Linked DNA regions of Rattus norvegicus. Each later gene encodes a partner of the first gene's protein in a complex. Links are inferred from orthologs where the notes say so. Each region holds a gene or a part of one and is shown in the gene's direction. Other genes may lie near its edges.

Region 1 (3,649 bases):
GGCATCTGTCCAGGCAATTACTTTTTTCCGTATGTTCTGAACTTTCATCATGCGAACCGATTTTGCTTTCTGATATTTATGATGTGCTCTTTCAAATCCACATCCTTACAGTGCCTCATTCTGCACATTTGTATATTCTCGGCTGACCCCTTGCATGGCTGTTACTTATTCTTTAGGATTCAAATCATACATCACCTTTACCCTTTGTAAATGTCCTTACCTGCTTCCTCTACGCCCCTAGGGTACTATAGAATACCCTCAATTTCCTTATCAGTCCTCAATTCCAATTCTTAAAACCACAACGTATCAACTTATTTGCCGAACTGCATTGTAACTCCTTATACTATGATCCCAAAAAAGCAAGAACTGATGGTTTTACAATCCGTATCCTCATCATCCTGCACATTCGCTTGCTCAAAGCAGATGCTTGAATGCAGGACAAAAGCACAGAGAATTCGCTATCAAAGGTGTTGGCAGGGGGGAAAAAGCTAAACAAAACCAGAAAGGGGGGAAAAAAAACCTACGACCCCCTGGGAATTAATTTTAATTGTGTGTTCCTTCTAAGACGTCATCTCTCCTCTGGGCCTTAAGAATCCATTTGTTCTTTTCTAGCTGACATTTTAATGGTCGGCACACATGATTATATTCAAGAAAGAGAACTTTTTTTCATGTTTTATTCATTCCTGTGAGTTTAACTAAAGACAGAAATGCATGAGGAGGGGGGAAATGGAAACGGATTGTATTTGTAATCGCTATGGTGAAGTTTGACACACTGAACTGGCTTATACGTGGCCAGAACTTAGAACTAAAGCAGGTGATACTTAAAACCACAATACGTTTTCTGTCTTTTCTTCTTTCTTCCGCAGTTATTTGTTTCACTACATCTGCCAGGACAGGATTGTGTATCTTTGCATCACGGATGACGTAAGTAACCTGAAGATCTATTGCTGTTTCACTGTGTGTACGAATGTAGCCGATTATCAATCATCTCTACAGAAGGGTGGGTAACAGCGACACAAAAAGTACAGTTTTTTTCTTTGCTTTGCATTTGTTATAAAGAGAATCTTAGGACAAACACTGATACTAAAATGTATATAATTCAGCTCAGTTTTGATACTTTTTGCTCAATCACTCTGAATCTCTGTCAACAAACAGTGTGTTGAAATTGGCCTCCGTGGTGGTTATTTTTGTTTTCAGACCTTTTATTTTTTATATTTTTGTTTCAATAAAAGAAGAGAGCCACCCCGCCTCCCATTTTTAGGAGTCCACAAAACCAAGCGCTAACCAGTGTAACGTATATGCAGAGGACCTAGCAAGGTTAGCTAGATTTGGTTTAAACGAAGCGGAAACGACTTTCAATGACAGATTTCACGACAAAGTCCCGCGTTATCTGAAAGGACTGATGCGAAAACGTTGGGGTGGATGAAAATTGTCACAGAACTTCAAATGGTGTGTGTTGAGCGGCAAAATTCTTAAGCTGTGATTTCAGTCGTGAGCTGCCGGACCTGGGTGCTGGAACCAAACTCGGGTCTTCTCAAGGAGCGACTAGCACCTGTAACCACTGAGCCGTCTCTCCAGCCCTCAATCTATCTTACTTTTCTGGATTTATTGACTGTCTCCTGATGTCGGTTCTCACGGTCGATTATCTGAAGGGACTGGAAGGTCGGTTATCTGAAGGGACTGGAAGGATTAAAAGTCAGTCCATTATCATCAAGGCGGGAGCACGGCAGCCTCCAGGCAGGATGGTGCAGGAGGCGGTGTCAGTTCTCCGTTCTTCACCTGAAGGAAGCCAGGGACAGCCTGAGCACCCGCAGGCAGCTAGGAGGAGGGTCTCCATGCCCACCCAACAGTGACACACTTCCTCCAACAAGGCCACACCTTCTAATGGCGCCACGCCCAGGGCCGAGCTTATGCAAACCATGACCGGCTCTCAGCTTTGTAATTTACTAGCGGTTTGATTGATGGCAAGTTCGTTGTCTTTTGGAGTCTTTGGTTTCTGATCTACGAAACATGGTTAGGGTTAGGGTTAGGACTAGGGTTAGGACTAGGTCAGGGCCAGGATCAGGGTCAGGGGTCAGAGGTCAGGGTCATCAACCTCCCACATGTATGTGTTTAATTTGTAAATATGAGTACAATCTTGCTCATTCTGTAGGATTTCGAGCGTTCTCGGGCCTTCGGTTTTTTGAATGAAGTGAAGAAGAGGTTCCAGACCACATATGGCTCGAGAGCACAGACCGCACTTCCCTATGCCATGAACAGTGAGTTTTCGAGCGTTCTGGCTGCACAACTGGTAAGGTTTCTCTCAGGTTGTGGTGATTTAATTTATGTTATATTTATATTATTTATTATTATATTATTTATATTTTATTTTTCTTCTTTACAACCTTCACACATCGTGAATCCAGGGGCTCTGACCTGGAGAATGTAACATAAGAAAACTTTTATATTTTATATAAGAAAACTTTTATACTTTATATAATGCACCAGACATGTCACCTGGCCTTTTAACCTATATAGAAAACTTTTTCACATCCATGAAGCAAGTTGGATTTTTGAGGCTCAAATGAATCATGGGAAAATCTATTCATCTGCGTAACTTCCTCGTTGTCAACGGAATTGATGGTGTGTGTGTGTGTGCGTGTGTGTCTGTGTGTGTGTGTGTGTAACTCTGAAATGCTACCATAGTAAAGATAAAAAACCCTTTGATTCCCGTAAACTTTCCCCCATCTCCCTTCCTAGGAAGTCGCCAAAGCAAATATTTTTACCCAGCAAATCACTAATCTATATTTTACCTCTGTAGATTAGTTCTGTCTTTCTAGATTTTTTTTTTAAGTACAGTCAAAAAGTGGGTACCCTGATGGGTCTTTTACTGCTCTACCCATTTGTCTGTTGCTAGGTATTTGCGTTGCCATTAGTTTTTAACAATAATAAGTAAACCTCTGTGAATCTCAAGTCTTTGTGTGGACAAATGTTTTTATTTCTCTGGGAAATCGCTAGGGATGAAATTTCTGGGCCATATGGTGAGTGATAAGTAATTTAAAAATTTGTCGACTTCCTGTGTTTACCGGAAGTCCCACACCCGCGGATCCCGGCCCGCAGCAGCTCTCTGCTCCCAAACCCCGTGGGAGAGAGACCTCACCGCCTGATCAGGTGGGCACTCCTGAGGCTGCAGAGCGGAGGAGACCACCAACACTGCCCACCCCTGCCCACATCCCTGGCCCAAGAGGCAACTGTATAAGGCCTCTGGGCTCCCGTAGGGGAGGGCCCAGGGGCGGGAGGACCCCTGCGCCTGAGACACCGCCGGAACCTGAAGGAAACAGACCGGATAAACAGTTCTCTGCACCCAAATCCCGTGGGAGGGAGAGCTAAACCTTCAGAGAGGCGGACACGCCTGGGAAACCAGAAGAGACTGCACTCTGTGCACATCCAGACGCCAGAGGAAAACACCAAACGCCATCTGGAACCCTGGTGCACGGAGGCTCCCGGAAAGAGCGGCGCAGATCTTCCCGGTTGCTGACGCCGCGGAGAGGACTTAGGCAGTACCCCACGAGCAAACTTGAGCCTTGGAACCACAGGTAGGACCAACTTTTCCCCTGCAAGAAACCTGCCTGGAGAACTCAGGACACACAGAGGCAAAATTCCTCTAGGA
Region 2 (3,749 bases), on another chromosome or scaffold:
CATCGGTCAGCAGGCGCACGCCATGCAGCTCCTGAAACAGCTGCTGGCGCACATCAGTGCGAAGGGCTGTTAGCAGGAAAAGGAGCCTTAAGTCAAAGAACTGGACTTCGTGGGGATAGCTCCTTTTGCGGTACAGTCCCACACGTTCCGCTAGCCTCACCACCAGTCGAGCCTCTGCTGCTAGCATCTGTGCTGTAGGACTGCTGAGCACAAGATTACACAGGCATTTGAGAGACTCGAGGAGGACATCCATGTCTGGGGGCTGTGGGATGGGCTCCTCTGAGATGGCAATGTCGGCATAGCAGGCTAGTGCGTGTAAACTCTGGCGGCTAGCAAATGAGTCCAGGCAGCTGCGGTCTCGGGATAGGATTCGGATAGTCTGCAGCCAGGTGACACGGTGTTTTGGTGACAAGCCCTGCTCCAGTACGGAGACCAGCAGCTTTGCGAGTCTCTGTGGGAAGGGACAAAAATGGTTCCACTAGGCCCTCTTCTTGGGGCAGCCCGTGCTTGCCCTAGGAACCCCCTTGGGCTGACACCTACCTTCCTGTCCTCCTGCTGTGCATCATCGAAGGTGAAGCTCTGGGAATGCTGCAGGGAGACCCAGGAAGCTCAGTTCCACACGCAGGTAGGACCTGTGCTCCTCGAGAAGCAGCAGGTCTGCTTCTACCTCTGAAGCAGCAGCCATCGCTGTGTACGTAAAGCAAGGCCCACCCTCGCCACCCATACACCTGACTACCACAGAGGCACCGCCGTGGCCCAGCCCACCACCCACCGCCCTGCTCCCTGCCACACTCGCACGCACACCCCAGCCGAGTGGCGAGCAACCGGCTGCTTCCTCACTTCCTGCAATTTCCTCGGCAGCTGGATGCCTCTCACCTCTCGGTTAAACGACCGCAGAGCTTCTGTCACCGCATCTTCCTCTCCCGTCTCCAAGGCATCCGCAACTGCCCGGGGCTCCATGGCCCCTGGCACGGGGTGCTAGAAGACTTGGGCTGGGAAGACGCAATCGGCCAAACCCGGGGACTCCGCCCAGGTCCGGAAGCCCAGCGTCCACGCGTGAGGAATGCTGGGAGAACAGCCGAGCCTAGGGTGTGTACAGGCGCGGGGCTGGCCTCCGGCTTAAGGTGGAGCAACCCGGCTGTGGCCGCTGAGCGGCTTGTCTTGGAGCAGCGATGCTAGCTAACTAAGCAGTATCCTCCTTTTGAGCCCTTCTCTCTAGCCCGACTTCCTGGCGGGCGGGGGTGGGGAGTGGGGTGTGGCTTGGCCGGCGCGTAAACCTTTCTCCTTACACTCTTGTTCCCGTACTGTGATAAAAGAGGGAGCGCCGGCTCCTGGCCGCTTAGTCAGTTGGGGAAGACGATTCTCGCGGTCATCTTCCTGATGCTCATCTTCCACGGGAAATAAGGAAAGAGAAGTACGACTTGGATGGTCAAAATAATGTACGTGGTTAGCCGGGCATAGTAACGCACGCTTTTTTAAATTTCAGCACTCGAGAGGCAGAAACGGGCAGACCTATCTAAAAACAATCAAAAAACCAAACCACCAAAATAATGTGGTTATCAAAAGAAAAGGGCAATTGCAGAGTGTATGAGGAAGGATCGGAGAGAAGGAAGTGAAGAACACCGGTGGAAAAGCGACTCCCGCGGGAGGAGCAACGGAGGGGCGGCTAGCCGCGGCGTGTCTGGGGTTAGAAGCGTAGGAACGTTGTATAGTGGGGAGCCAGGTCTGCATGCCACTTAGCTTAAGGCAGAGTCGGTGCACCCCACGGTGACACAAGCAATGTTCCAGAGGATAATGCCGCCCGCTGTGCTAACCGGCGCTTGCCTCTACTCAGTGTCAGGTCCTTTGCCAGTCTCTTTCGCTTCTGCTCGTCCTCCCCATCCTGTCGTTCTCACTTGGGGACTTTGCAGCGCCCGAGGTACCCGACCCTCGGCTCCAGGTTGGGGTCTGAGCTCCTGCTCCGGGTAATACCCACAGCGCGGGACTAATACTGCTGACCAATCCGTAGGCCCGAATGCTGGCGGCCCGCCCTTCCCTTATTTACATTCCAGTGTAGAACTACAAGTCTGTTTCTTCCGCTTCAGACTCTTCTCCCGGAAGTTATTAGACCTGAGGCGGAACCGGAAGACCCAGGTAGTGGTGCCACGTCCGTCGCTGTGTTGCCTACTCCCCGAGTGGGACCTCGGAAGGCGCGATGGCAGATTGGACTCGAGGTGAGCGCACCTGAAGGTAGTTGGGATAGGAGGCAAGGTCTAAGTCTGGAGTACGAGCCATCAATTTTTCCTCGGTGGAGGGATCTGCGTGGGATGGCGCTTACGTATTCCAGGAAAAACAGGGCCAGATTTCAACTGGCACTGCCTTGGAACCCAAGCCGGCATGACATCAGTTTGTGTGTATGGTTGATGCCAAGGGCTGGAAGCAGAAGGTCCAAGCAGGGACTTACAGGGCTCAAGTGCCTCGTTTCACACACACCCTCCGCCCCCGTGCCTGTGTTCAGTCTGACAGTTGTGATACTGAGGCTTCTACTATACTAACTATGTAGTGGTTGGTAGGACACAGCCGTCTGTCTTTTAGAGTCTGGTCGCCCCTGTTTGCTGGTGCTGCTGGCTTTCCCCTTAGGTGGGTCATATCGAGGCTGGATTTTTATGCTTCAGACCAGTGCCAGTCACACTTAGGCAGGTGATTCTCAACTACATACCGTGACAGAAATTCTTCATGTCTAGTCTCTGTCCGTCGGAGTAAGGTTTCCACAGGAGAGTGCTCTGGGGCTTCTAGAGATCCTGTGTGGGTTGTAGCAGTAGGGATTGGTAGTTTCTACAGTAAAAGGCCTTTCTTACACTTACCTTGGACTTGATTCCTAAGTCATCCCCACACAGCCTTCCTGTCACCTGCTTTGTTGTTCTGTTCTGTTTTCCCTATAATCCCTACCAGATTGAGACCTGTCCCATACTCTCAGATGGTGATTTCAGCTAAGGCAATATTCATTTTGGTCCAGGAACAGTATACAACAGGGTAGTGTAGATTGACCTGCTGGTTCCCTGTCTCTGCCTGGGCATTGCACACAAGTACTCCCATGACCCATGCTTCCTGTCTGGTGTGTAGGTGGTCTACCTGTTGGAACATAGGGTGGAACATGCTAAGTGAGCAGAAGGATATGGGTGGAATGCCCTTAGAGGTCTCACCAGGCCAGGCTCCACTGGAGCAAGGAGCCAAGGACCACATTTATGAGTGAATTCTACCCTTCAGCCTCTTTGTCTTGCAGCTCAGAGTTCTGGTGCTGTGGAGGAGATTCTAGACAGAGAGAACAAGCGGATGGCTGACAGCCTGGCCTCTAAGGTCACCAGGCTTAAATCGGTTAGTGGTGGCCCTTTTCCCTTCCATGAGACACTTTGGTGAGTGGGGCTGAGTGGGTAGAAAGGAAGCCATGCTGTCCGTGGGTGTGCTGACTGAGGAATGCTTCAGGTAATACCTTGGCCTTTTTAGCTTTTTCTAGTAATAGGTACCTAGCAGAATCTGAAGGGAAGATGGGCACTGCACTCTGTGTCCTTGCTTGACTGTGCCTTCTGTATCCCAACCAGCTGGCTTTGGACATCGACAGGGACACGGAAGACCAGAACCGATACCTAGATGGCATGGTAAGTGCCTGTATTACGTACAAATCATAGTCAGCTCTACCCCCATGCCGCCTGCTCTTCTGCCTCTAACCCTTCAGCGCTAGTACAGTTGGGCCGTCACAGATCCCAGCTCTA
Region 3 (3,749 bases), on another chromosome or scaffold:
GTTAATTTTATATTTTGCTTTTGAGGTAGGGTTTCTCTGTGTGGCCCTGGCTGTCCTGAAAGTGCTTTGTAGACCAGGCTGGCCTTGAACTCAGTGATCCATCTGCCTCTCTCTGCCTTCCAAGTGCTGGGATTAAAATCAAGCAACACCACTCTTGGCCTATCTTTGAATTTTATGAGAAAAATATAAGAGTTTGCACCACTGCTAACAACATCAGACTTTATCTTTGCACAATGCATTTTACAATTTTTTTCATTGAATTTAATGGTCAATGGATTCAAGCTTGTAAACCTAGGGCCTCAAAGACAAAAATCACCAGTAACCCACTTTACCATATACCTTGGAAGATGGATTACAGGATTTGCTTATGTTAGATAAGTGTACCCTCAGCTACATCCTCAGCCATATGTGTGTGTGTGTGTGTGTGTGTGTGTGTGTGTGTGTGTGTGTATTTCCATGTATAAATACTGAGCTCCCACGCAAACTTTTGAGAGTAGGCTCTTTGTGTAAACCCTGCCAACAGTATACATAGGAATTTATACCTATGAAAGAACAGAGAAGACTTCATAATTGTTAATATGTTTTATGTAAGGGCAGATAAGACATGCTAAGACGGGGCTGGGGATTTAGCTCAGTGGTAGAGCGCTTACCTAGGAAGCGCAAGGCCCTGAGTTCCGTCCCCAGCTCCGGAAAAAAAAAAGAACCAAAAAAAAAAAGAGAGAGAGAGAGAGACATGGTAAGACGGGTCTGTTTTCCACACCAAATCATACATTACTCAAGGGCAAAGGCAAAGATATTTTGATCAATATTTAACTTATCAAAATGGCTATTCTTAACCTGTTGTGAATGAGAACCCGGCGCAGCCTAATGGACTGGACTGGCTCAGCCCCTAAAAGCTTTGTGTATTCTGGGAGCACAGTGCTCATTTTCCTGTTCTGAAAGCATGTGACCCTGGCCACTTAATCTCCCCAGTTATAGAGCTTTACCATCCGAGAAGAGCAGGGCAAGCCTCTGCTCTTCTATCTATCTAGGGCTGAGACTGAACTGAAGTCAGGTGGCAGAATGAAGTGCAATGACAGCTAGGCACTTGTGCTATCCAGTCGCTGCGCAACAGGGCTGGCACTCCAGGCCCTCCCTGCACAGCCGCCCTTCCTCACTTAACTACAACCCCCAGCATGCACTGCAGGACCGGCGGGCCCGAATGAGGCGTCCGAGGCGCCCGTCCCGCGGGCTCCCTTGGGCTCTTCGCTTTGGTACCTCCCCTGTGCCCACTGCCTGTCTCCAGGTTGGAGACAGCAGCTCGCCTTGGCGCCAGGCCGCGCCCCTATAGTAGCCGGGTGTCGTCCTCGCCTGGCTTTCTGTCAGGCTTTGGCGCTCGCACAGTGACAACAGGGGGGAGGGCGTCCGGCTCGGAGGACCCCGGAAACGCCTGATTCCGGGAGGCCGAGGTGCGGCAGCGGTGATGGCTTTGGGGCCGGGTAGCTGATTCCTGAGGTGGGAGTGGGCCCAGCGCCCGGAGTCTCAGTGGCCGCAGCTCACGAGCAACCTGCACTATGGCCACTTCCGCCGCCTCCTCCGAGCATTTCGAGAAGCTGCACGAGATCTTCCGCGGCCTCCTTGAAGATCTACAAGGGGTGCCGGAGCGGCTGCTGGGAACCGCGGGGACCGGTGAGGCGGGGGCGGGACCAGACCGGTAGAACTCCGCAGGGTGCGGGATCCCAAACGCAATCCCGGGCTCCCGGCTTCCAACTCGGGCACGCCCCCTGCTGCTGTCCAGCCCCGGGCGCCCAGGATCTGCAGCCTCTTGTGACTGGGGGCGTGCAATGGGATCGACATTAGGATGTCGTCTCCTAGCGAGCCTCCCACGTCCTAGCCCCCAAATTCTTAGTTCTCCTCCTCTCCCAGCAGCATAGGGCGTTCTTAAATCTACGGTCCTGTGTTTCGTTAAGACGACTTTTTTATATATAAAAAAAAAAGAAACTTAGTTTGGGGTTGGGGATGTAGGAATTTGGTTGGTAGGCAATGAAAATTTAAAAATAGTTGTAAAGCTTATAGGTAAGACAGTGGTGGGAGGTGAGGGGAGTAAAACAGCCACTTAAAGAGGAACCTGAATGTCTCACATTAAGATTTTTGACGTAATAGGGTAAATCAGTAAGGAACATAAGCAGCTGAGTAATGTGGATTTCATTTTAGAAGCAAGGCGGCGGATAGCTGGATAGAGGATGTGAGAATGGCTATAAGAGACTGTGTTAGGAGCTTCCGTGACAGTTGACTAGGTAAGCATGGGAATCTGGAGAGTGAGCATTAAATCTAACAGGTGGTTCCGAGGCAGAGATTTATGAGATTGGTGGATATGAGTAGGAAGAAAGATTGAAGAGGGTCCGTGTTTTCTCACGTGATCAGTTGAGTGAATGAACTTAAATAAGAGGCGCAAACTCGTTTGAGCTGTAGATGAGAATGTCTACCTGTAGATTAGAGATAACAGTGTGTTCTGTACCAAGCATGACAAAATATTTTTCTGCCATTAAAAACATTATGAAGAATTTATTAATCTAGTAAATACAGTAAAAATTAAGAGATTAACAGTAGTGAACACTTTTAATCTCAGCACTTGGGAGGTACAAATAGGAGAATCTCTGTGAGATCAAGGCCAGCCTGGTGTACACAGCAACACAGAGATTTCCAGACCAGCTAGATTTTACATCTTGAGACTCTATTTAAAAAGAGAGAGATTCTAGAGCCAGAAGTTATATATACCTTTTATTAGTTATGTGATCTTGCAAGTTATTTTAACCAAACTAGTTTCTACTATAAAGTAAAACATAGCATCTAACTGAATGGGGTTTTTGAGTAAATGAGATATGTAAAGCTCTTTAAAATTACTGTCTGACAATAGTAAGAGCTACCAGCTATTATTAATATGTTTGCTATTTTATTTAGAAATATTAGCTCTCTATACAGTTATTCTTAGGATGCCCATTTCATTTGTTTGTTTTTGCTTTTTGGGTTTGTGTTTGTTTTCCAAGACAAGGTTTCTCTTGTGTATACCAGGCTGGCCTCAAACTCAGAGATCCTCCTGCCTCTGCCTCCCAAGTGAGAGCCAGTAAACTGGAAATGAAATAGTATTTTTGCTTGCTTGTTTAGCATATGACCTAAACTCCCAGGAACAGTACCCAGCACATCCTAGGTATCTGATAAATATTTGCTAGATATGTCTGGGGTGGTGGTGCATGCCTTTAGTCCTAGCACTTGGGAGGCAGAGGCAGGAAATCTCAGTGAGTTCAAGGCCAGCCTAGAGTATACAGTGAGACTCTGTTTCAAAAAAAAAAAAAATACTACATATTGTATTTGTTAAATTACTGTAAAAACCATTTTTGGTTGTTAAAGGTACTATGAGTTCTTAGAAGAAAATAGCTGGGTATCGAAGCAGAATAATTTATTTCTCTCCCTTTTATTCACATTCATTACTCTTCAAATTGATGTGTACACTGGTTAAAACACCCAAAGTGAAAGAGAGACTTATTTCCTCAAGGTATAGTCTGTATTCTCGTGGCCCTGGAGGGATCGCTGCCACAGTGTGTCCTAATCTAGGAGGTTTGTGGCAGTAACAGTCTTACCATGTATGGAAATCATTAGACTTTTATAGTCTTCATCACCTACATCTGGTATCTCTTATCTTGACATTGCATCTTCTGAAGAGATTTCTCAAAAGCCTCAGAAGTGATAGAATTTTGTCATCTGATTAATAT

What was found.
Region 2: Vamp7 (region 1) and Bet1l share a complex: the UniProt entries of both Homo sapiens proteins name them as parts of the SNARE complex. The link is inferred for Rattus norvegicus from reciprocal best matches to the Homo sapiens genes VAMP7 and BET1L.
Region 3: Vamp7 (region 1) and Vti1b share a complex: the UniProt entries of both Homo sapiens proteins name them as parts of the SNARE complex. The link is inferred for Rattus norvegicus from reciprocal best matches to the Homo sapiens genes VAMP7 and VTI1B.

What each region holds. Positions count from the first base shown.
Region 1 is NC_086030.1:21,852,178-21,855,826, forward strand, and holds part of Vamp7 (vesicle-associated membrane protein 7), read left to right. Parts: intron 1-866; coding exon 867-924; intron 925-2,152; coding exon 2,153-2,290; intron 2,291-3,649. UniProt on the Homo sapiens protein: Involved in the targeting and/or fusion of transport vesicles to their target membrane during transport of proteins from the early endosome to the lysosome. Required for heterotypic fusion of late endosomes with lysosomes and homotypic lysosomal fusion.
Region 2 is NC_086019.1:205,362,238-205,365,986, reverse strand, and holds the start of Bet1l (BET1-like protein), read left to right. Parts: upstream 1-1,280; 5' UTR 1,281-1,439; intron 1,440-2,084; 5' UTR 2,085-2,194; coding exon 2,195-2,213; intron 2,214-3,262; coding exon 3,263-3,354; intron 3,355-3,578; coding exon 3,579-3,635; intron 3,636-3,749. Other genes in the region: Ric8a (synembryn-A), read right to left, coding at 1-451, 541-588, 877-960. UniProt on the Homo sapiens protein: Vesicle SNARE required for targeting and fusion of retrograde transport vesicles with the Golgi complex. Required for the integrity of the Golgi complex.
Region 3 is NC_086024.1:103,706,969-103,710,717, reverse strand, and holds the start of Vti1b (vesicle transport through interaction with t-SNAREs homolog 1B), read left to right. Parts: upstream 1-1,230; 5' UTR 1,231-1,553; coding exon 1,554-1,668; intron 1,669-2,193; exon of another isoform or gene 2,194-2,276; intron 2,277-3,749. UniProt on the Homo sapiens protein: V-SNARE that mediates vesicle transport pathways through interactions with t-SNAREs on the target membrane. These interactions are proposed to mediate aspects of the specificity of vesicle trafficking and to promote fusion of the lipid bilayers.